3 linked regions of the Rhinolophus ferrumequinum genome follow. The protein of the gene in region 2 interacts with the protein of the main gene of each other region in a biochemical or structural test. Links are inferred from orthologs where the notes say so. Each region holds a gene or a part of one and is shown on either strand. Other genes may lie near its edges.

Region 1 (8,012 bases), on a different chromosome or scaffold from region 2:
GTAATTTGAAAGACTTTATTTTCCATCAAAAAACAGATCCATGTATTTTTTCCAATATCCCTCTGGACAAATCCATTCAATTCACTTGAATTATTCACCTTTCACTGATTTTTCACTGATTCACAATTTTAACTACTTTTATCAAAGAAAACGGTAATGATTTATTAAATTACCTGTGTATATAACTTTTCTTTCCTGGCATTCAAGAAGAGACCTTTTCCTGTGCTTGTGTGCTTTTTCTCGAAATCTTACTGTTATCACTATATTTGGATTACCAGCATTGCAATTAGGTTCAGGAAAAGATTTGGTTTCCACAAGATTTCCAAACTTTTTGTTAACAAAATGGTGAACAGCTTTTCTGTGGTCTTTGTCTGTATCAGGTTTAAAGGTAAATTTGGAATTTTCTTTCTTTGCATCCAAATATTTGAAAAAGTCAAGTGCTTCTTCTTCGGATACCAAGTGAAGGAGTTCTTTATATTCAAGATTTGGTTTTACAACAATTTCACTGTTTTTTCCTACAGTTATTAAAAAGGGAAACTTCTGCCTAATAGCACTATGCAAAATAGCCCTCTGGTTTTTGTCAAGGATTGTGCCCAGTAAGAATTCAGGAGATGGTCCAATTAGCTCAGTTTTAGAATCCCACTTCTCTTTTATAGCACAAGCAAACTGATTCAGTAATTCACTAGTTTTTTTATCTAACAAAGAGCCTAATACATCAACTTTTTCTTCTTCACATTTGGAAGTTCCATCATTGATTATATCTTCCTTTTCTGAACCAGTCTGATGATTTTGGTCATCATTGGAAAACCCAGCCAAAGTATTGACTTCTTGGTCGCTTCCCTCTTCCAAGGACACATTTTGAAGATCTAGTTTTGTTTTCTTTGCAAAATTATTTGGCTTGGGTAGTGCTTTACTAATCTTGTCAATAGGTTCATCAGTGGCCTTATTAACTAACTGTCCCTGTTCATCTATTTCAATAACAACAAAGTCACTTGGTGAGCTTTTTATAGTGCCATGAAATCCAACATGATCAGTAATGAAACACAAAGAACTAAATCTGATTCTAAAATCTGTATCCTCTTCCATTCTTAAATAGCAATGCCTACAAAAGAAACAGAGAGGCAGTCAGTTACTAGAAAGAAAACTTGTGGGTCACAAAAAGAAATAGGTTTGCAGGATTTATTTAATTCTCTTTCTCCCTTTCAATCCTGAGACTCCTTTAATAGACACTAATAATCTACTTCTATATATCCTGTGTATTTTGACCCTCCTATACCAAAATGAATTAACATACAAACTTTTTCTGGTATAACTGGTGAGTTGCAACTTGACTCTTCATCCACTCCAGGATTCCATCTATTGTTCAGGATTAAAATGAGTCAGTTTCAACTTCACTTTAAAAATATAATTTGTTGGCCAGCCCAGTGGCTCAGGCGATTAGAGCTCTGTGCTCCTAACTCCGAAGGCTGCCGGTTCGATTCCCACATGGGCCAGTGGGCTCTCACCCACAAGGTTGCCAGTTCAACTCCTCGAGTCCCGCAAGGGATGGTGGGCAGAGCCCCTGCAACTAAGATTGAACATGGCACCTTAAGCTGAGTTGCCTCCCGGATGGCTCAGTTGGTTGGAGCGTGTCCTCTCAACCACAAGGTTACCGGTTCAACTCCCACAAGGGATGGTGGGCTGTGCCCCCGGCGACCAGCAACGGCAACTGGACCTGGAGCTGAGCTGCGCCCTCCACAGCTAAGACTGAAAGGACAACAACTTGAAGCTGAACGGCACCCTCCACAACTAAGATTGAAAGGACAACAACTTGACTTGGAAAAAAGGCCTGGAAGTACACACTGTTCCCCAATAAAGTCCTGTTCCCTTCCCCAATAAAATCTTTAAAAAATATATGTCACTTGTAGGCCCACAAAGAACAAAGAACTGTGTACAATGTGTGCAGTGATTTTCTAAACCCTACCTCTGAAATTTCCAGCTAAATCCAGAGAACTTGTGGCTAGATTTTTATATATTAGCTGTTAGGGATGGGAGAAGGATGAGAAGACAGGAAGAAAAAGGCCAAATTGACAAATGAAGCTCTAAATACCAACTTGCCATGTGATTACTTGAACCATAAGCCTTCTTGAAAGCCCATATAAAAACTTTTACAGATACAAACTTCTGAGGTTGACTCAGAGGGAAATTCCAACCTTGTCACGGTCATCAGAGAGAAGAAACCCTTACAGATTTTCTTGAAGCAGCAGACCAGAGAATAGTTCTGTAAGGAGGCCTTCACTCACTCTTCACACAACCTATGGCTACCACACCAGATGGAGCTACAGGAAAGCTAAAATGCCCAGGGCCCCGTAATATTCCTTTGTGTCAGCCACACTCTCCAGGTAATTTAATCATCATCTGGACCTTCATTCCATGTTGACAATGTATTATACTAATCTGAAACAATTTAGCAAACTCCCCTCCTCCATCCTATTATGCCATGTAGAAATCAGAGCAAATTCTCTACATCCTTATTTCTTAGGAAATATAGAGGGATATATTTATTTTCCTTCATTCCTTAATTTCCTGTACAGTCTCCTCAGTTTCTAGCCTTCACTGAAACCTGGCTATTTCCCCCAGGCTGCTTCCTCTGTAGTCCTCTCAAGTGAAAGCCATTTTTCCTTTCACACCCACCTAACTTAGGACCTGGAAATTGTAAATATTTTGTTTGCCACTACTCCTTCCAAACCATTTCTTCCTCCTCTACCTCCCCAAACCCCAGTTCCTTTGAAGTTCATGCCATCAGACTCTGCCATCTGCTGTCATCCTCTCTCTGGTCCTGGGATGACTCTTCCTTCTTCACTGAAGACTTTATTGTTCCCTGTCTTCTTAACCATCATGACTTGCAGGACCATCCATATGGATCATCCATTTAACATCACAGTGTCTCAGTTCCTCAATCTGAATCTCAACCCACTTCCACTTCATCTTGGTCATAGCCTTGACTTTCTGATCACCAAAAATTGCATCAACTTTAAGCATCTGGCTCTCTGATTACTCCTGCTGTCCTTTCATCACCTCCACTTTGTACTTCATTCCATAAATTCTTATACATTGTAAAGGCCTCTAATCTCTGCTTCTACTACTGGTCCACGTAACACCCAGAATGATTTAAAAGGTAAATTAATCCATATCACAACCTGATTTAAAACCCTCAAACCACATTTATAATGAAATTCAAATTTCCCTGACTTCCAAAGATTTCTAAGATTCTGGACTTTGTCTAGTCTACAAATTTATTTTGTAACCTTTCCCCATTTCCAACTATACTCCAGATACACTGGACTTCATTTCCTTTGTACCAACTGTTGCTGCTGATGAAATTGGTCCTTCCCAAATCACATCCTACGAGGTCTTCCCTGACCAATGTCTAAAGGAACCGGCAAGTCACTCTCTTTCACAAAACTTTAGCTTTTTGCATAGTATTTCTATCTAATAATTTTCATTATTTATTGTATATCTCCCTCAACTAGATTGTTAGCTCCATCCAAGCAAGAACTTGTCTGCCTTATTCACTGATTATCTCACATTTAGAACACTGTCACGCACATAGTAGGCATGCAATCATTACTGATAGTTGAATAAATTAAATTATAAAATAAGAGGGTAAGAGTGAAAAGGAAGAAAGGTCGCTTTTGCCTATGATAATTGGTAAAGTCATAATGCAAGACGTGGCCATCTAAGTCCTCAAAACTGTCTAAGCAATAGAAATGAGGCAGAGGCATATCATAAGTAATGTAAAAACAAAATATGCAATGTGGTAGAGAAAACTGAACAGTCCAGATACAGAGCTGTAGGAGAAAAAGTTTTCTGGACAGTTCTGGAAAATACAGTTGGATCAGTGCCAAACTATCTAAGACACTGAATGCCCTGTCAAGGGCTTAGAATCCAGAGCGGTCAATGGATGGCCGCCGGAGGTGTTTGGGTAGGAAAACTACACAATCTAAAATGATGTTTTGGTAAGACGCCTGATGGAACCGTACAGGATGAATCAGAAGCAGTGTTAGGGAAGCAATGTAATCAAGACTATTGTTGTAGGATCGGCCTTGGGAATAATAATAACAAATTCTTACCCCAGTAAAAGGAAGATATGAAGACATTCTAAGCTAATACAATGGGTAGAACAAGTAACTCGGGGAGAATGTGTAACAACGAGGGAATTACAACCAAGCATCTTAGGAAAAGAGCGGAACCCAGCGGGAGGGAGCCCAGGAGCCCACGTGGAGTTCAGCATAACTGTGCGGTGTTCCTCCGCAACCGATTGGTCGATGAGGGTGCCAGGTGGAGAGGGGTAAGGTAGTCTGACCCAAGGTTAGTGAATTCCCGGTTGAGGACAGACAGATACAAGGAAGATATTAGAAATGGAGAAGACAGCGCCTTTTCCCTTACGCTCTTACTTCACTAATCGCCGAAGCTCCGCCGAACTCACTCCTACGTACTTCCCGCTCCGTCCCCCACCCGCAGAATTTAAATCTCCGGCGTGGTGGCCTTTGGCGCGTCCACAAGTACCCTCAGACACCGCCACCAGCTCCCCGTGCTTCTCCTCCCTCCCCCACACCCGCCAGTCCCAAGGCGCAATCCTCGTCCACCTCACCCTCCGCTCGGGGGCAAAGGCTTGGGGTCCCAACGCCAATCATGTCATCGCCCCATACAGAAGCCCACATGACGCTAGATGCTCCACCGGGTCTACCTCACCTCCAGGTGAAGGCATGCCCCTGCACAACCTTGTGCGCATGCCCGGAAGACAATATATTTCGCCTCCGACGGAGGCGTTTTTAAAGGGACAGGCTCCTACTTACAGAAGCGACTAGGACTTTCCCACTTGGTGACGCCGCCCGCAGGGGCCAAGAGGCAGGGAAGGGCGGGGCCTGGCGTGTGGAGCCCTTCCCGTCACGCCCCGCCCCGCCCCACCGCGCCCCGCCCCGCGCCCCGCCCCGCGCCCCGATTCCTCACCGGCGGGCACTACCGGGCGGGGTGCAGTCCGCCTCCTGTGCCCCGCGTCTGGGCAGGTAAGGATTTCCGACTGTGCGCGCATCCTTCACCGCAGGTGGTCCGAAGTCCGCGCCCCGGCCTCAGTCTCCCTGCCCCAGGGTTGTTCAGGGACCGTTTCGGAAGGAAGTTAGCCTCTTATCTTCCAAATGAGAAAAGTTCGGGAGGAACTAGGTGGCGTGGACCGAGCTTGATCCAGGGTAAAGACTTGGTTGGGTCCCTGGGGATCAAAAAGTTACTCGGACCTGAAGAGGAATCTGGGGCGTGGAGAAGCGTCACCCAGACATTCTGTGGCTCAGTCGTTCCTCTCTCCGAGTCTCAACTCCTATGAGTTGTGTTCCGTCTGAGTGCGGGTTTACAAAATGAAATCTTTTTTTCCTGAGAACCAGGAAGTAAGTCCAGCACCCAGCAGAGATGCTTGTTGCTTGGAAGGCATGCTGAGCCTGCACAAGATTCTAAGATTCTAATTAGTTTGTTTCTCTGGCTTCCAAGCTTCCAGGAAATTAGAAAGTGGAGAGGAGTTGTAAGGTTCAGATAAGTGCATTATCAGATAGGAAAAGTGTACTTGACAGCCTAGAAGCAAGAGAGAAAACAGAAATAAAAAGCAGACCTTGAGAAATTGAGGAAGCGTTGTGGCCATTTAGAATGGGAACAAATGGCTCTTATTAGTGCCTCAAAAACGCATCTGCCCCCAAGGAACCCTAAGAACAGAGAACATTTAACTCTGCCTTGCCCTTTCTTTCTGGAGTAAGCCTTGAAGGATCTGTCAGAAAGTTCAGAGTTGTTTTATTCTCCTGTTTGCAAGCTAAACATTCCTTTGAAGTGTACTTTCTAACCTGTCCAAACTGAGCTCATGATCTTCCAGTCCAAACGTGTGCCTTCCACAGTCTATTCTATCTCAGTAAATGTCAGGAAACTTGTTTAGGCCAAAAACCTTGATGCTATCTTCTCACCTTTCATATCAGCAAATAGGATTCTCATTGCTGTACCTCAGAAAATATTGAGCATCCTAGGTCTTCCTACCTTCTCTGCTACCTCTGTGGTCCAAGCTGCCAGTACCTCCCACCTGGACTACTGGATTACTCTACTAAACTGGTTTCTTCCTTCTTCTCTGCCCTTATTCCAGGAGCCTTTATTCTCAGCAGCAGCCCCAGTGTCCTTTTAAGAACCAGTTTAGAGCCTGTCTCTCCTTTTCTTAAAGCCTCCACTGTCTTCTCATCTTGCTCAAGGATCAACAAAGTCAATACAAAGTATACGGCTCTAAGAGACCTAGCTCTGTTACCTCTCTCATCTAATCTGCTACTTTCCTACTCCCTCTCCAGTCTCACTATCTCCTGGCTTTTTCTCAATGACCCATTTCAGGCCCTTGGAATGTTTTCCTACAGATACCCAGTGGCTGACTTCCTCATTGATTCAGACCTTTAATCACCTTCTTTGTTTCCCTCACTCTTCTTTCTCTGTAGTATCTGATCTTTCATGAAGTTAAGATCAGATGCAGTCTCCTAAATGTTTGACTGTTTTCTTCTGCATTCCCTGACCATATACTTTTTTCAGGTTTACATTTCTGCTAGATTATTGCAAAGTTTTCAAACTGGTCTCCCTGCGTAAATATACATCCCTTCAATTTTTTATCCAGAGGAATCCACTTAGCCAAATAACACCTTTCCTTAAAGTCCTGTAACTTTTAGTATAAAGTTTAAACTCCTTGTCATAGCATATGCGGTACATGATGATTTGGCCCTGTCTACTTCTCGAGCGTCACCTCTTATTACTTAATGACATGCATCCTGTGGTCCAGCCATAGCAAACCCTTTGCCTGAGCCTAACCTATGCTCCCCTGTGCTGTTCCTGCTGCCTGGAGTTTCCTTGAGTTTATCCTCATTCCTTTTCATTCATCTTTCCAACCTCCCAACCCACCCAAATCTGTCTTAATATACTTCCTTCGGACGGGCTTGGCTTGATGTCCCTTCTCTGGGCCCCAAAACATACCTCTTGCAACATTTATAACTCACTGTAATTGTTTTATCCCCTGCTAGACTGAACAGCTTGAAAACAAAAGATTTTCTCTTCTCTGTAGCTCCTGTTACTTATTGCAAAGCCTGACATGTATGTTTTTTTGAATGTAGGGATGTATATTTACGCAGGAAGACCAATTTGAAAACTTTGCAATAATCTAGCAGAAATGTAAACCTGAAAAAAGTATATGGTCAGGGAATGCAGAAGAAAACATTCAAACATTTAGGAGACTGCATCTGATCTTAAATTCATGAAAGATCAGATACTACAGAGAAAGAAGAGTGAGGGAAACAAAGAAGGTGATTAAAGGTCTGAATCAATGAGAAAGTCAGCCACTGGGATATCTGTAGGAAAATGTTCCAAGGGCCTGAAATGGGTCATTGAGAAAAAGCCAGAAAGGAAATGACTGGTCTTTCTAGAAAAGAGAGTGAAATGAACAACGCATTGAGTTATAGAAGCAGGGACATAAGGCATGAATTTTGAAGTCAGATATGGGTTCAAGTCCTAGCTCTTTTACTTACTACCTTTGTGAAATAGAGATGATAAAACTGCATTAGTCACCTTGAGGATTAAGTGAAGTGTATAAATCACCTTGCATGGTACTGGGCAGGAACATGTAACAACACCATTATCTACAATGTGCTAGTTACTAGTTATATATTAGTAAATAAAATGATCATAGTCCCTGAACTCGTGGAACTCTTAGTCTGATGGGGGTGACAGTAAACAACTGGACAAATAAATTTATGGTTACAAATAAATTGTGCAGTAATGAAAGATATTTAGGTTGAGGGCAGATAGACCTACGTAGATGTAATGGTCAAAGAAGGTCAAAGAGAAGAAAATGCTAATACAGAGGTCCAGGATACAGAGAGACTTTTTGCTTCTTACTCTTTTATAACTTCTGGATTTTGTACCACATGAATATATTCTCTACTCCAAAAATTAGTTATATTGCATCTTAAAAA
Region 2 (7,297 bases):
AAACATGAGGTTCTCTCTACTGGTCCTCTTAACTGTGGTGTTGAGGCTTATATTTGTGTAATTTTTGGTGGGTGAAAGGAACTTTGCTAAGTAAATCTCTTCTGTGTTTGAACTGAAGTCTGTATTGTAACCATGTTTAAAGTAATTGTTCCAGAGACAAATGCTTCTAGACACCTTTTCTTTACAAACAAAAGAATTCGGAGGGTGGGGATGGTGACCAAGATGAGAGGGGCTGTCCTATGTCCCCTCCCAGGAGGGGAGATCCAGAGAGATGGCCCCCGCTCAGATCAGCCAGAAGCCACCCAAAGGAGTTAAGCCTATGCCAGCGGACCGAATAGCTGATGTGTTGCCATTTTCAAAGTCAGAGCAAAACCAGGTCTTGTTCCACCCGGTGGATTCTTTTGCCTTCCCCCCCCCAAGATTATTGGCATCATTGTTATTTTTAAGAACAGACAGGTTCATGTTCCTGCGAGGGGAGTCAGGAGGGTGTGAGCAGGGCCGGCCTGGCCTTGGTAGGAGGCTGGGGTGGGCCTGAACGGCCATGGCTCAGACGAAGGGTGGGCACCTCCCTGGAGACCTCCTCTGCTGTGGCCACAGGTCAGGTATATGCTGACGGGGCAGACTGGCCACTCTTCGCCTGACGCAGCTCTTTCTGGACAGGCCAGGTAGCGGGCATTACCGTTTAGTAGGACACTTCCATCACATCCCACCCCGTCCCGCAGCGCCCCACACTAACGTGACCTCTTATCTTAGTCCCCACCATCTCGTGTGATGAGATGCGGAGGGTGCGCTCTCTTAGCTGTCATCCAATTCCCAGCAAAATTTGGACGTGAGAACCCCCCTTCCCTTTCCATGGCAAAGCCAGACCCTTCTCAGAGAAGCTGTTCCCCCCACCAGACGGTTTGGGTTCACGGAACGGACAGAGATGTGCTCACTTCGCGCCAGGCGGCACCTCCTCCCGAAGGTGAGGGTAGTACTCACTGTAGTGACCATTTGCACGTGGGGTTTGGTAGCGGGTAGAACCAGGCAGGGTGGCTGCCCCCCCCCCAAGTCTCAGTGACACAGGCCAGCCACCCTGTGCAGAGGGAAGCCCGGCTGAGGGTGGGAGAGGTATGTGTGAGGCGCGGGGAGCCGCCCAGGACAGACTTGGCTGGAGATGTCTCAAAAAGCCCTCTATCACATTCACCTTCAGTTTTTGTGTTTTGGGACAATTACTTTAGGAAATAAGTAGGTCGTTTTAAAAAACAAAAAATATTGATTGCTTTTTTGTAGTGTTCAAAAAAAGGTTCTTTGTGTATAGCCAAATGACTGAAAGCACTGATATATTTAAAAACAAAAGGCAATTTATTAAGGAAATTTGTACCATTTCAGTAAACCTGTCTGAATGTACCTGTATACGTTTCAAAAACACCCCCCACTGAATCCCTGTAACCTATTTATTATATAAAGAGTTTGCCTTATAAATTTACATAAAAATGTCCGTTTGTGTCTTTTGTTGTAAAATCAAGTGATTTTTTCATAAGGTTCTTTTACTATTTGAAAAGATGGGCAGCACGCAGTTTTATTTTATTTTTGTAAGTTTTTTAATACGTGTGAAAGCAAAGACTACTCAGCATGCCTTTCTAAGTGACGCGTTTGCACCTTTTGTTGGGAAGTACTGTATCCTGTGCTGTTAGCATTCTCGATAAATCTCTCTGTGAAAGTGACTCAAGGTCTGGGCTTTCATTATCAGACAGCTCACAGGACAGCATGGTGGTGTGTTTCCTGATTCGGTCTGGCTGTCCCTGAACAGAGGAGAGCCAGCCACTTTCAGGACCGCCCTGAGAGGAGAGGGCAGCCTGCTCCATACACCACCTCCCCTTGGGCGTTCCAAGGCCGCCCTTGCCAGGCACACTGCTCCTGCATGTGTGGGGAAGCTCTGGGTGGCAGGCTGGGAAGGGCCTGGCACAAATCTGCCCGCCGTGCCCTAGGTCAAGAGGCAGGCGGGCTGCAGAACAGTGGCACAACCTCCCTGTTCCTGAGGGCCACGGTAGGGGTGCCTCTTTGGTCGGGATGTGCCCAGGTGCTTTTGGAAAAACAGCCCACTCCCAGCTCAGGCTCCTCCTGTGCCTACCACCTGAGACCCTCCCATAGCCTCTGCTGAACTGGCTCCCTGCCCAAGGGGGGCGCTGTCATCACTGGGGTTTGCAGGTGTCACACCCTGCCTGTGCCCCTTGGCTTCCCCGTAAGGCTCTGGCCTCTCTGGAGCTGTCTGCCCCGCACGGTCATCCTCACCAGGCCCTTGCTGGGCTGGAGGGGACAACTGCTCCGTGTCCAGCTTCACGCGCAAAGGTGGACGCACCTATTAGAAGGTGCACTCGAAAGCCTTGGCCTTAAACGTTAAAACAAAGGGTTGAAATTCAACCTGTGTGCACTGAGCATCTTGTGTGTGCCAGGCCTGTCCAGGGAGCTGCAGTCCAGCAGTGAGCAAGTAGGGCCAAGCGTCTGTTCCCTTAGAGCTCAGTGTGTGTGTATCCGCATGGTAATTCCCATCCTCAGGGTATGGGTGGCCCCCTCTGTGGGAGTGGCTGACACTTCTGGGAAGAGGTTCCAATGGACGCCCATATTGGGCGCGGGTTTTTGCAAACATCCCCGAGTCCCTGGGAGGACAACCTGGGGTGGGGAGCCCTCTGGGGTCAGAATCGAGAGGACAAGGGGGATGGACGGTCAGGGAAGAACTGTTACCTTGCAACAAGCATGCCTCTAGCTGGAGAAACAAAAGAAGAAGGCACCTGGTACTGTTGGCTGGGTCTTCCCCATCTACTGGGGGAGGCTCAAGAAGGGCACACCAGAGATGCCAGGCACAGCGGGGGCTGCAGACAGCTCTGCCACAGGGCCCTAGGGAGCTTGCACCCTAGCTTCCACCTGGAGAGCTGTTTGAGCTCAACCTTGTCACATGACGGCCAGGAAACTGCACGTGCTAACTCGTGGACACAGAAGGCCTGGCGCTTTCTCGGAATCATAAGGAGTTCTGGATGGCTTACGGCTGCTGGTGTGTGCAGAGCTAGACATGAGGTGGGTGTGCAGGGGCCATGTGGTGACGGCCATGGAGGCTGCAGTCCAGAGCTGCGACCCATCAGAAGGCTCCGGGAAGCACAGGAGTCTTTTGGCAGGAAAGCCCTGTGGCTTGATTTGTGCCAGAGGAGGAGCACCCAGGCAGACATGAGGCGCGGAAGCCATGAGGGAGCCGGCAAATTCATCCAGGTAAGAGGTAGTAGTGAAGGCAGTGGGCCCATGGGGAGGAGATGGACTCCGGACATGTTTGGGGAGAAGACAGGAACATAGTGGCTGCTGATGCGGAGTGGAGCCATGGAGGCTGCAGAGCACTATGGGAATGGGCAAGAGAGACAAATATGACCCAGACGCCAAACTGAGCTTGGTGCCTGGCCACTGCCTCAGAAAAGAGAGTGGGAGAGAGAGGCCTGACTGCCGCCCTCGCAGGGGGAGCGCAGACTGAGCCAGAAACGTGATCACGAGAGGGAAGAGGGACAAGAGGAGCTGAAACCTTGTTTTTAAGAGAGACAAGCACGGTTCATGTGCTAGTGGGAAGGAGCCAGCAAAGAAGGAAGAGTGGCAGATATTGCTACGAGGTAACAATTGCTGATGCAGGTGCCTGCAGGAGGGAAAAGACGGGATCCAGGGCACAGGAGGTGGGCGGAAATGCTCTGAGCCGGGGCAGCCTGCGGGTACGAGCTTCCAAACCGTTCTCCCTGCACCCGACCTCACGGGCCAGCTGACGGGAGTGAGCAGGGGGTGGGAGTGGGGCCTTTGTGGAACCCCCATCTGACCCTGTCCCTCCAGCATCTCTGACGGCTCTCCATTGTCTCCAAATAAAGTCGACACGTCTTAAGGGGACGTCCCAGCGGCTGACGTCCTCATGGCCTCCGTCCTCTTTGCTGAGAACGGCTCTCCTCCATCCGTCAGAGCCCCACTCAGACGACCCCTCCTCCTGGAAGCCCGCCCTGCCCGCCTGGCCCCGCGCAGTGGCGCTGCCTCCGCGGGAAGGGACCGCTTGTGGCGCCCCCGTGTGGCCGAGGGCCGCGGTGGCCGCGGCGGCCGCGGCAGCGGGCAAGATGGCGGAGTCTCGGGTACCGCCCCTTCCGCCCCGGCGGGCGTCGCACGAGGACGGCTTAAAGGGGAAGTGAGTCAGTGTTTGCGGACCCGGCCGGCCGAGGCCCGCGCCCGCCGTGGCCCCGGAAGGCCCCGAGAGGCCCCGGCCCGGCGGCGGCGGCAGCGGCGGCGGCCATGGCCGGGGGGCCGGGCCCGGAGGAAGCCGCGGCCCCGGGCGCACAGCACTTCTTGTACGAGGTGCCGCCCTGGGTCATGTGCCGCTTCTACAAAGTGATGGACGCCCTGGAGCCCAGCGACTGGTGCCAGTTTGGTGGGTGGCGTCGGGCCGGCGGACCTGCGGGGCGGGGGGCGCGCGGGACCCAGCGCCCAAGCCTGACGCACCCCACCCCGCAGCCGCCCTGATTGTTCGCGACCAGACCGAGCTGCGGCTGTGCGAACGCTCCGGGCAGCGCACGGCCAGCGTCCTGTGGCCCTGGATCAACCGCAACGCCCGCGTGGCCGACCTCGTGCGCATCCTCACGCACCTGCAGTTGCTCCGCGCGCGGGACATCATCACGGCTTGTGAGTGCGCGGCTCCGGGACCCCAGGACCGGAGGCCTCTCACGGGGCCCCTCCCCCTGCCTGGGCCTAACCATCCTTTCTGTCTTTGACGTCCCAGGGCACCCTCCCGCCCCCCTCCCACCCTCCAGCACCACCTCCCCGAGACCCAGCAGCCTCTCTGCACCCTCTGAAGCAGAGGCCCCCAGCCCCGGGAAGTTGCAGTCGTCAGCCTCCACTCTCCTCTCCCCAGGTAAGACAGCCCTAGTGTTGGGCTTGATGGACCTGAGAAAAGGGCCACCTTGACCATGGCCATGGCTGTAGATCCTGCCCCTGGTCTCTGCCTGCCTCTCACTGGTGTCTTTACGAAGCTTTTCCAGGCTTCCAGGCTCATTCTGGGCCTGAGATCGGCCGTGTCCCAAGCCCTGCTGCCCTCCGGCCACCACCACCACCACCTCTATCCTCTTCTACCAAGGTAGGTGGGTCCTGTCCCCAGGAAAGGTTCCAAACAAGTAACAAGAAACCCAGTCTTTGGTACACCAGGGATCCCCAGCCAGCCCAGCAGGGCCAGCTGGGAGGCAACTGGGATGGAGGTAGCTTGTGGCCAGGGCAGAGGGGAGGAGACAGGACCTTACCTGATTGGGGTCTCTTCCCACAGCAGAGCGCAGGGAACCCAGTGTCCCTCCTGCAAGGTACCCACCCCTCTCCATTCTGCTGGCCCCTCCATGAGATTTCCCAGGGCACCCACAACTTCTCAGAGGAGCTGAAGATCGGAGAGGGTGGCTTTGGGTGTGTGTACCGGGCTGTGCTGAGGAACACAGTGTATGCAGTGAAGAAGCTGAAGGAGGTGGGTTTAGCATCCCAGCGAGGGCCCTGGAGGGCCAGCAGCAGACCCTCACTTTTCTGGTCCAACCCCCTGCTTCCCACACAGCTCCTTCAGCCCTCTGATTCCCCAGCTCAAGCCCCCCCCCAGCCCCTTGGTTGTTCTGGGCCCAGGACAGATGGCACTGGGAGTGGCCATCGAACCTTGGCTGCAAGAGCCTCATGCTGCCCCTCTTCCCCCGTTTTCCCTGGGGGCTCCAGGAGGCAGACCTGGAGTGGACCACTGTGAAGCAGAGCTTCCTGACAGAAGTGGAGCAGCTGTCACGGTGAGCCTGGGATGTCCCTCTAGGACCATGCACCACGGGATCTGGCTCCCTCAGGCCCCCGAAGCTTGCCATGCCCAGCCTAGCTGAGAAACCAGCAGGGACTGCCCACCCCCGACTGACACAGCCATATGGAAAGCGCGGTGGAGACTGGGTGGCAGAGCACTCAGGCCCCAATTTTCCAAGCAGGTTTCGTCACCCAAACATCGTGGACTTTGCTGGCTACTGTGCTCAAAGTGGCTACTACTGCCTCGTCTATGGCTTCCTGCCCAATGGCTCCCTGGAAGACCGCCTCCATTTCCAGGTAGTCTTACCTGGCCCGGCACGTTTCCCCAGACCCACAGCGTCTGAGTGGTGTGGGGCATGGGGCCTAGCGCCTGAGCTCTCAGCCTCCGTGAGTGGGTCTCACCGGCAGGCAGGGCCTAGGCTCAGGGTTTGGCCCAAGGTGCGATGTCGTTTGCCCCAGAACTCTTTCCCATGGCCTCTTCCTGGCTGTTCTGCGTGCCCAGGAGCCTGGGACCATGGTACCTCTGAAAATGGGGTTATTGACTCCGAGTAACCTGACTCGGGCTTCTTCCCTTTGCAAGCAGAGTAGCTGAAGGGTCTTGTCAGTATTGCTCTTGGGGAAATGGGGCAGTGGCAGCAGGCTGCACTGTCTGGACCCACAGTTGGGCCCTGTCTAGCGAGACACCCACAAGACTCAAGGGCGAACTGCACACTGTGTTGGGAGAAGTGGAGAGAAAGCCTCCAGTGACATCCTGATCGCCCTGGGACAAATGAATGAACTTCAGGAACTGAGGACCGCGGAATTCTGTGATGACTCTGGAAAGCACATTCTCAGCCATTTTCCCAGCATGCTTTACAAAGCAGTGGGAATAGCTTAATCTCGCTCCTCTTGTAATATAACTCATGGAGATTTTGCTCCTCATTTTTCAGAAGGAGAAACAGTCCCAGAGAGTGAAGTGCTTGTCCAGACCCCGTGGTGACAGGTGGAGGGAGGGTTGGGGTCAAGGAATGGTGGCGCCCAGCACCCCCTGTGCCCCTTTGCTCCCTCTGCTGCTCCAGGCCCGGGCCTGCTCCCCACTCTCCTGGCCTCAGCGCCTGGACATCCTTCTGGGCACCGCCCGGGCGATTCAGTTTTTACATCAGGACAGTCCCAGCCTCATCCACGGAGACGTCAAGAGGTGAGGAGGGGAAACAGCTAGTCCCCTGGGTCCCCTGAGAGCTGCAGGGGCGGAGTCCATGGCAAGCCCATGATGCCCCCAAACCTTCCACCAGCAGAGCGTCTGGTCCCCAGGAACCCTGCCCTGAGTGCCCCCATGAAAATAGGTCTGCCCTCTCCTGCTCGAGGCAGAGGTGGGGATGGTGCAGCCCTGGGACGGGACGTCAGAGCTAGGGGCCCTGGGTAACGAGTAACTGGCATGGGTGGGACAGGTGTGGAAGCGGAGTCCAAGGATGCCCCACTCGTGGGGCCGAGCTGTGCAAGGGTGCACTGGGCTCTGCTT
Region 3 (7,816 bases), on a different chromosome or scaffold from region 2:
GCACATGACCTTCCAGCTGCTGGTGCGGGTAAGCAGGCCACCTCCACTCTGAGTCCCGGACCCCCACCCACGCTACCCCAGCCCTGGCTCCCGGGCTGATTGGCAGGGCTTGGCTATTGCAGGACACCCGGGAGGAGAACGAGGTGCCCAGCCACACGGACAACGCCACTTTGGTCCTGGAGGTGCAGCCGGCCGACCTGCGGCCTCCCTGGTTCCTGCCCTGCATCTACTCTGACAATTATGTCTGCGTCCACGCCGAGTATCGTGGGGCTATCCCCACAGGCCACAAACTGGTACTGGGGATAGGGAGGGCAGGGCCACGTCCCGAGCTGGGTCAGGGTCAGGGTCAGGGTCTGTCGGCACCGGGGGTGGGGCCTGGGTGCCATGCAGCCAGTTCTGTTGTGATTTTCAAACAAATGTGTGAACATTCCCTTGTGCTCCAACCTTGCTCCATCACTGTGGTGGTGAGTGGCCAGCAAACTCCTCTGAGATTAGGATAAGGGGGACGGCCCAGCTGTCCTGGGGGCACAGCCAGGGACCCAGTGAGGGGCTGGGACGCTGGGGGGCCACGCAGCACTCAGCAGGGGCAGCTGCACCTCTGACCGTCCTGCTCGTGCCACGAGGGGCACACTTAGGCACTGGGGGGCAGGGTCCAGCTCTCCACGCAAGCAACCACGTCCCCACGTCCCCTGCACCTGCCAGCTCCTGAGACACACACTGTTCAGATCAACCGAATGTTTGGGCAAAATGACTCATTGACAGCGGGTCCAAAGGGGTGTGATGTGTAATCGTGCCTGCGACTGGACTGTCCGGCAGGCCCCCGTGGGGGTGCAGGCCTCCTGCAGGGGAGTTGGCGGGGTCGAGCTGGGGCACTCACACCAGTCCCACAACGTCCCCACCCTCTGGGTCCCGCAGCTGGGCCCCCTCATCCTGCAGCCTGGGCCCGTCTACGCTGTGGACGGGGATCGGGGCATCAACCAGCGCATCATCTACAGCTTCCTGGCGGGTGAGTGGGCCCCCCCCCCCCCCCCCCCCGGCTTCTGTCTCCAAACAACCGGGCCCACCCGCATCCCCACCCAGCGGGACATGCCGTGTGGCAAAGCCAGTTGGGACCTCAGGCCTTCGAAGGGGACAGGACTAAACCCGCCCACCTCCCTCTCAGGACACGAAGAAGGCAATTTCGTCATCAACGCTGACTCCGGCAACCTCACCATGACCAGAAGCGTCCCCAGTCCCAAGACCTTCGTTTTTCTAGTCAAAGTGGGTCTCCTGGCCAGGCCTCCACAGACCATTCCTGAACCCCAGGCCGCAGGGCTCACCCTTCAAGGACCCTCTGGTCACTGCAGCTTCCCCCTACCCCCAGGGCGAGCAGGCAGACCACGCCAGATACTCGGTGACGAAGGTCACGGTGGAGGCCCGAAATGCCTCAGGGAGCCTCCCCCGTTTCCCATTGAGCCTGTACCGAGGCACAGTGGCTCTGGGCTCAGGCGTGGGCGTGGCTGTCAAGGACGCAGCTGTCCCCTCCCAGCTTCTGAGGATCCGAGCCCAGGACCCCGAGTTCCCGGTAGGCCCTGCCTAGGTCTACCTGGCCTCTCCTCTGGGGTGGGTTCGGGGGTTCTGGGGGCCTGGCGCTCACCAGGACTGTGTCCAGGACCTCAACTCAGCGATCACATATAAAATCACCAACAACTCCAACTTCCGAATGAATGGGGAGGCTGTGCTGACGGCCGCCCCGCTGGCGCTGGCGGGGGTCTTCTACGCGGAGGTGAGGAGCGGGTAGCATCTCTAAGGGCAGGGGTTAAGGGGGGAACTAGGAGGGACAAGCCCCCTTCCTGCCCCAGGTTCAGGCCAACAACACGGTGACATCAGGCACAGCGTCCACCGTCGTGGAGATTCAAGTGTTGGAGCAGGAGACCACCCCCACAGGTGAGCCTGGGGGCCCAGGTGACCCTTAGGGAGGGCTTCTTGTCACAGGCATGCTGGCAACAGAGGCAAGCCCAAACTGTGTCCCTGGCCCCTAGGCCCCCCTGTCCCCCCCACAGCCCCAGAGGCTGGAGGAACAACCCGGCCCTCAAGCAGCACCACTTCGGAAGCCCCCAGCCCCCCAGGGCCTACTCAGGGATCCTCCACGACCAGCTCTGAGGGGGGCACTGGTCCGCGCCCCACCCCAGGCACAACTCTGAGGCCACCTGCCTCGTCCACGCCTGGGGGGACCCCCGGTGCTGGGACCAGCACCTCTCCCCCATCAGCCTCACCCAGCGGGGGCTCAACACAGACCCCGAAGCCAGGAACCTCTCGGCCGACGTCCCTTGCATCTAGCAGGACCCCCCAGCTCCCAGGTAGCACCCCCAGATGTCCCAGAGTCATGCTCGCGCTCCCTGACTAGACAGTCCTAGGAGTCACTGTAGGGCAGGTGGCCATGCTGACTGTAAAATCCCAACGGGGCTGGTGGCTCTGGTCTGGGTGGAGACAGACAGGTCCTGGGGGCCCCAGAAGGTAAACTGGGGAAAGTGCAGATTTGGGATCACTGAACCCCACAACTCCCAGGCCGTCCACTCCAGTGCTCCCAGCATTGCCCTCGCCTCCCTCTGGGTGGAACCGCCGCCTCCCACCTGGAGCTGCTGGCACAGACCCCTCTGGCCCTCCCTCCCTTCAGCAGCCTGGCTTGTTCTGTGTCCCTAAGCCTGGCGCAGGTTGGCACGGACTGTGCTTGGGTGCTGCGCTGACAGTGGCTGGTCCTGTTGCCTGCAGGTTCGCCGGGGACAGGAGGCGTCACTGGGGGGATTGACCAGCCAGGTGGCAGCCATGCTGAGGACCAGCGCTTCTCACAAGCAGAGATGGGGGCCCTGGGAGGGGTTCTGGGCGGGCTGTTGCTCCTGGCTTTGCTGGCCCTGCTCATCCTCATCCACAAGCACTATGGCCCCCAGCTGCCCTGCTGCTCTGGCAAAGCTCTGGTGAGGCCTGGGGAGGTGGGGGGGGGCAGGACAGGAGAGACAGAAACCAGAGGCAGGGATGTGAGAGTGAGGGCAGCATCGGGAAGTGGGAGGTGGAGAATCGGCAGGATGGAGACCAGGAATCGGCCGGAAAGCTGGAGAGCAAAAGTGAGGAGGTGTAGACACCACAGGCCAAAGAGAAGCAGAGAAAAGGGGAGGAGCTAGCGTGGATCCCAGTCCCTGGGGAGGGAGGGAAACGATAGATCTGAGCCCAGGCGGGGGTCCCGGTTGACACCCTGACTCCCCGGCCCACTCCCCAGGAGCCCAGCGGCTTTGACAACAAGGCCTTCGTCCCCGACAACGAGGCCAACTGGGCGCCAGCCCCCAGCCCCGCCCCCGACTGCACCCTGCCCGCGGACCCGCCGGCGTCCCCGCTTCCCGCGCCTCCCACGCCCCCCAGCCCCCCGCGCCCCGGCCGCGTCCCCGAGTCCCCCGCGGCAGCCCGGGATGGAGGCGGGCCCGAAGGCGTGAGGTCCATCCTGACGAAGGAGCGGCGGCCTGAGGGCGGCTACAAGGCTGTGTGGTTCGGCGAGGACATCGGGGCCGAGGCCGACGTGGTGGTCCTCAACACGCCCGCCTCGGACGCGGACGGCGCCGGCGACTCCGGCAGCGAGGGCAGCGGCGACGAGGACGCCGATGCGGACCTGGGCGGGGGTCCCCACGACGACGCGCCCAGCGCCGACTCTACCTTCATGTAGTGCCCCCCCCCCGCCATTGTGTAGAATAAAGTGACATTTCCGAATCGCGGGCGAGGCGTCGCTGGCGCGGGTGATGGGGCGCGGAGAGGGCGGGCGGGGCGGGCCCCCTGCCCTGAAGCGCGCGGGCACCGCTTCCCGTAAACCACCTGCTCCGCCGCCAGCCGCGGGGCTTCCCGGGCTCCGTGCCAGGTGGCGGCGGGAGTTCCTCTCGGAGTAACCGCCGCCGGAGGAGGGCGCCCTGCACTGGGGAGACCTCCCTCCCGACCCAACCCGGAGATTCTCGGCCTGGGGGCGGCTCAGGAGCCGCCCTGAAGAGCAGTCGGAGAGCAGGGTCCCAGGACCTTCCGGGGGGCACAAGGTGTGGGGCCCGCGGGAGCAGTAAGCACTCAGGCGCCCAGACAGCGGCCTGTGGTGCGAGTGGAGCGCGGCCCAGTGTGACAGGAGTCGGGAGCAGTGGCCAGGCCATGGGCTAGCGGCGGCGGGTGGGACCGGTTAGTGCACCACCAGAAGCTGGGGGGAAACCAGGGCCACACAGTGGGGGACAGCCCCCTCCACTGGACTTCCGTCCTCACCTCCACCGCACTGTCCCTTGTGGGTGGGTCATCGTTTTTCCTAATGAAATAGCAGCACTAATTCCTTTCCGAATGTTTTCATGGCGAGGGTGTTGGAGTATCTTGCTAAGAACCCCGGCCGTACGCTGCCGCTGGTCGCACGCCCTTCTCTATTACCCGCTTTCTCCCGCAAGAAGAGGTGCCTGGTTTTCTTTGGAGTCCGCGGAATCCTCAGCTTATCCCATTTCCCCCACTCCCACCCCTGGCCCCGGGTGTGCAGGGGGTGCTCCCGGAAGGAGAGGAGCGACCGGACGCCGCAGGAGCTGAGGCTGGCAGGCAAGCGAGACCGGCCCCTCCTGCCGCCCCTCCGCGACCGCCCTCCCCGCACTGTCCATAGCCGGGGTCTGAGCCTCCACCAAGGGCCTGCACCCGGGCTCGGGGAACACACCGCGCGCACCCCCTCCTACAGGGAAACCTCCGCCGCAGCGCAGGACGTCCTCGGCTGCACCTGAGGCCAGAGGCCCGGCCCCGCCCCGGCCCCACGGCTACCGCCCCGCCCCCTGTTGCCTGCCCGTATAAAAGCGCTGGTTCCCTGCCTCCCGGGGAGAAGGAACTTCCTGCCCCGGCGGCTCCGGCTCCAGGTACTATTCGGGACCCCAACCCCCCGGAGTCACATGGTGCATCTCCGGGTTCGAGGTGGAGGCGAGGGTGGCTGAGGACCAGCGGGGGTGCTTTTGGGACGGGGAGGCGCCCGCCTCGCAGCGGGGGGTTAGGTTTCGTTTTCCGGCGACGCGCAGTTTTGCTTTCCCGACGCCCAGGCCCTGCAGCGGCTGTTCCCATCTGTCTCCGCAGGTCCAGCCTGCCCGTCCCGCAGGCCTGGACGCTGGCTCAACACCTGTGACTTCACGTGTGCGCGCTGCCACATCTCTTGTCACACCCATCGCCACCTTTGCCAAGAAACCCACACCTGGGCAACGTCGTGGCCATAAACCTTCAACCCACATCTGTGACCCCAACAACTGTAACAACTGGGCCACACTTGTGACATCGGGCCATACTACCTGTGGCGACACATAAGCAGTTCTTCCCTCACCTGTGGGAACACCTGACTGCCACTCGTGATCACATCCCCTCGCAGTGGGATCATGGCTGCGGCCCCAGACAGGTGAGAGCCTGGCCCACCTCCCCGGAGCCCAACCACCGCACCCGACCGCCGGCTCCCTGACCTGCTGTCTGCTCCGCCCACAGGGGTGCCCCGCGCGTACGGTTCGCAGACTGGCTTTTGGGCGAGGTAAGCAGCGGCCGCTACGAGGGCCTGCGGTGGCTGGACGCGGCTCGCACGCGCTTCCGCGTACCCTGGAAACATTTTTCGCGGAAGGATCTGGGAGAGGCCGATTCGCGCATATTCAAGGTGGGCCCCCGGCTCCGACCCGGGTGGGAGGGTCAGCCCAGGGGCAGGCCCGCGCTCCCAGGCCCACGCCCTCCTTCTCGGTCCCCAGGCCTGGGCCGTGGCCCGCGGCAGGTGGCCGCTCAGCAGCGTCGCAGGCGACCCTCCGACCACCGAAGGCGCGCTCAGGGCCGGCTGGAAAACCAACTTCCGGTGCGCGCTGCACAGCACACAGCGCTTCGTGATGCTGCAAGACAATTCGGCGGACCAGGTCGACCCGCATAAGGTCTACGCGCTCACCTCGGAGATGGGCTGGAGAGGTGAGCACCCGGGACGCCGCGCTCAGGGAGGCAGGATGTGCGGGGCAGAAGAATGTGCTGCAAAGGGCGCTAGCACTTTGCTCTGTCGAGGGGCAGCCCCTGGGTCAGATCTGGGCAAGGCGGTTGGTGCCAGGTTGTTAGGGCGAGCTGGTGGGGTCTCTGGGGACCAGCGAAGGGAGTATGTGCCAGCAGAGCGTCTCAGGTCCCATTGCTCCCCCCACCCCAATTCTCACTCAGAAGGTCCAGGCATTAACCAGGACGAGGACCAGGCCCTTGAAGATGCCCAATACATGAGGGTAAGGCGGCTCTGCCCTCCTCGCACCTGGGTGGGGGCTGTCACCTCTCACTGGCTGGGGGCTCCTTATGCTGGCACTGTCTTCCCCTGTAGGGTGAGCTCCCCGGGCCATGCCTGGTAGATGTTGAGAGGCCGAACCCTGCGCCCTGTGCCCCAAACCCTCTTCCCAGCCCAGCTGGCTCCGCCGGGGACCTCCTGCTTCAGGCTCTGCAGCAGAGCTCTCTGGAGGACTACCTGCTGGAAGGTGTGGAGGCGGATCCAAGCCCCACAGAAGCTCCTGGTAAGGGGCTGTTGGCTGGGGTGCCCTGGGAGGGGAAGGCAGGCCAGCAGTCCCTGGGGGTGGGGGGGATGTCTAGCAGGGATGGTGTTGGCCACAGCTGAGCCAGTACAGCTGTTCCCACTGTGGTCGTCCTCCACAGATCCAGAGCTCCCTAGGGGGGAGCTGGACCTGCCATGGGCAGTGGAAATGGCCCCCAGCCCCAGGTCACAGCCCCAGGCCCAAATGACAGGTGAGAGGAGCCAGGGGATGTGTGGAGGAGGGAGGGGCTGGGGGACCAGGTGCCAGCTCAGGCCTTTCCCCCCCCACCGGACGCAGGCCCAGCCCAGGAGCCCTGGCAGCCCCAAGAGGCGGAGCCCTGCACCCAGTTGTCAGTGTCCAGCTGCCCACAGCTCGGTCTCCATGCAGAGCCCAGCCTGGGGGCCCTGGATGTGACCATCATGTACAAGGGCCGAACAGTGCTGCAGGAGGTGGTTGGGCGCCCAAGCTGCGTGCTCCTGTATGGGGCCCCTCGCCTAGCCATTGAGGACACAGAGCCCCAGCTCGTGGCCTTCCCCAGCCCCGCCGAGCTGCCAGACCAGAAGCAACTCCACTACACAGAGAAGCTGCTACAGCACGTGGCCCCCGGCCTGCAGCTCGAGCTCCGGGGCCTGAGGCTGTGGGCCCGGCGCCAGGGCAAGTGTAAGGTCTACTGGGAGGTGGGCGGCCCCCTGGGCTGCGACAGCCCCTCCACCCCAGCCCGCCTGCTGCAAAGGAACTGCTACACGCTCATCTTTGACTTTCGCAGCTTTTTCCGAGGTCAGTGGTGCCCCTGGCATGACACCCGGTCCCTCCCCACCCCTACCCACACTGCTCCTCCTCCGCTCACCAGAGCCCCATCCTGCAGAGCTGGTGGAATTCCGGGCTCGCCAGCGCCAGGGCTCCCCACACTATACCATCTACCTGGGCTTTGGGCAGGACCTGTCAGCCGGGAGACCCAAGGAGAGGAGCCTAGTCCTGGTGAAGGTGAGGGCAGGGTCCCACGTGGGGGAGGCGGCGGCTGCTGCACAGCCTGGCCCGGCCTGATTGCGCCCTCCCCGCAGCTGGAGCCATGGCTGTGCCGGGCACACGTGGAGGGTGTACAGCGGGAAGGCGTGTCCTCTCTGGACAACAGCAGCCTGAGCCTCTGCCTGTCCAGCACCAACAGCCTGTACGATGACCTGGAGCGCTTCCTGGACTTCCTCATGGAGGTGGAGCAGCCCGCCTAGGGCTGCCGGGGCTGCCCCAAATCGAATAAAAAGAACCAAGAACCTGTG

Evidence for each region.
Region 1: of the proteins of IRAK1 (region 2) and IRAK4, one has a biochemical effect on the other in vitro, tested with the Homo sapiens proteins (2 studies listed by BioGRID). The link is inferred for Rhinolophus ferrumequinum from reciprocal best matches to the Homo sapiens genes IRAK1 and IRAK4.
Region 3: the proteins of IRAK1 (region 2) and IRF7 form a complex in vitro, tested with the Homo sapiens proteins (2 studies listed by BioGRID, with this or other methods). The link is inferred for Rhinolophus ferrumequinum from reciprocal best matches to the Homo sapiens genes IRAK1 and IRF7.

The regions. Positions count from the first base shown.
Region 1 is NC_046293.1:46,386,263-46,394,274, forward strand, and holds the start of IRAK4 (interleukin-1 receptor-associated kinase 4), read left to right. Parts: upstream 1-4,961; 5' UTR 4,962-5,048; exon of another isoform or gene 5,049-5,228; intron 5,229-8,012. Other genes in the region: pseudouridylate synthase PUS7L, read right to left, coding at 174-1,086.
Region 2 is NC_046284.1:6,426,711-6,434,007, forward strand, and holds the start of IRAK1 (interleukin-1 receptor-associated kinase 1), read left to right. Parts: upstream 1-4,236; 5' UTR 4,237-4,284; coding exon 4,285-4,420; intron 4,421-4,503; coding exon 4,504-4,671; intron 4,672-4,768; coding exon 4,769-4,900; intron 4,901-5,018; coding exon 5,019-5,122; intron 5,123-5,305; coding exon 5,306-5,494; intron 5,495-5,730; coding exon 5,731-5,795; intron 5,796-5,981; coding exon 5,982-6,096; intron 6,097-6,857; coding exon 6,858-6,976; intron 6,977-7,297.
Region 3 is NC_046294.1:361,367-369,182, reverse strand, and holds IRF7 (interferon regulatory factor 7), read left to right. Parts: upstream 1-4,765; 5' UTR 4,766-4,883; intron 4,884-5,094; 5' UTR 5,095-5,387; coding exon 5,388-5,407; intron 5,408-5,490; coding exon 5,491-5,653; intron 5,654-5,741; coding exon 5,742-5,949; intron 5,950-6,186; coding exon 6,187-6,245; intron 6,246-6,337; coding exon 6,338-6,524; intron 6,525-6,663; coding exon 6,664-6,753; intron 6,754-6,839; coding exon 6,840-7,319; intron 7,320-7,407; coding exon 7,408-7,526; intron 7,527-7,603; coding exon 7,604-7,768; 3' UTR 7,769-7,814; downstream 7,815-7,816. Other genes in the region: CDHR5 (cadherin-related family member 5), read left to right, coding at 1-28, 123-293, 916-1,006, 1,163-1,260, 1,364-1,564, 1,652-1,765, 1,842-1,926, 2,022-2,339 and 2 more.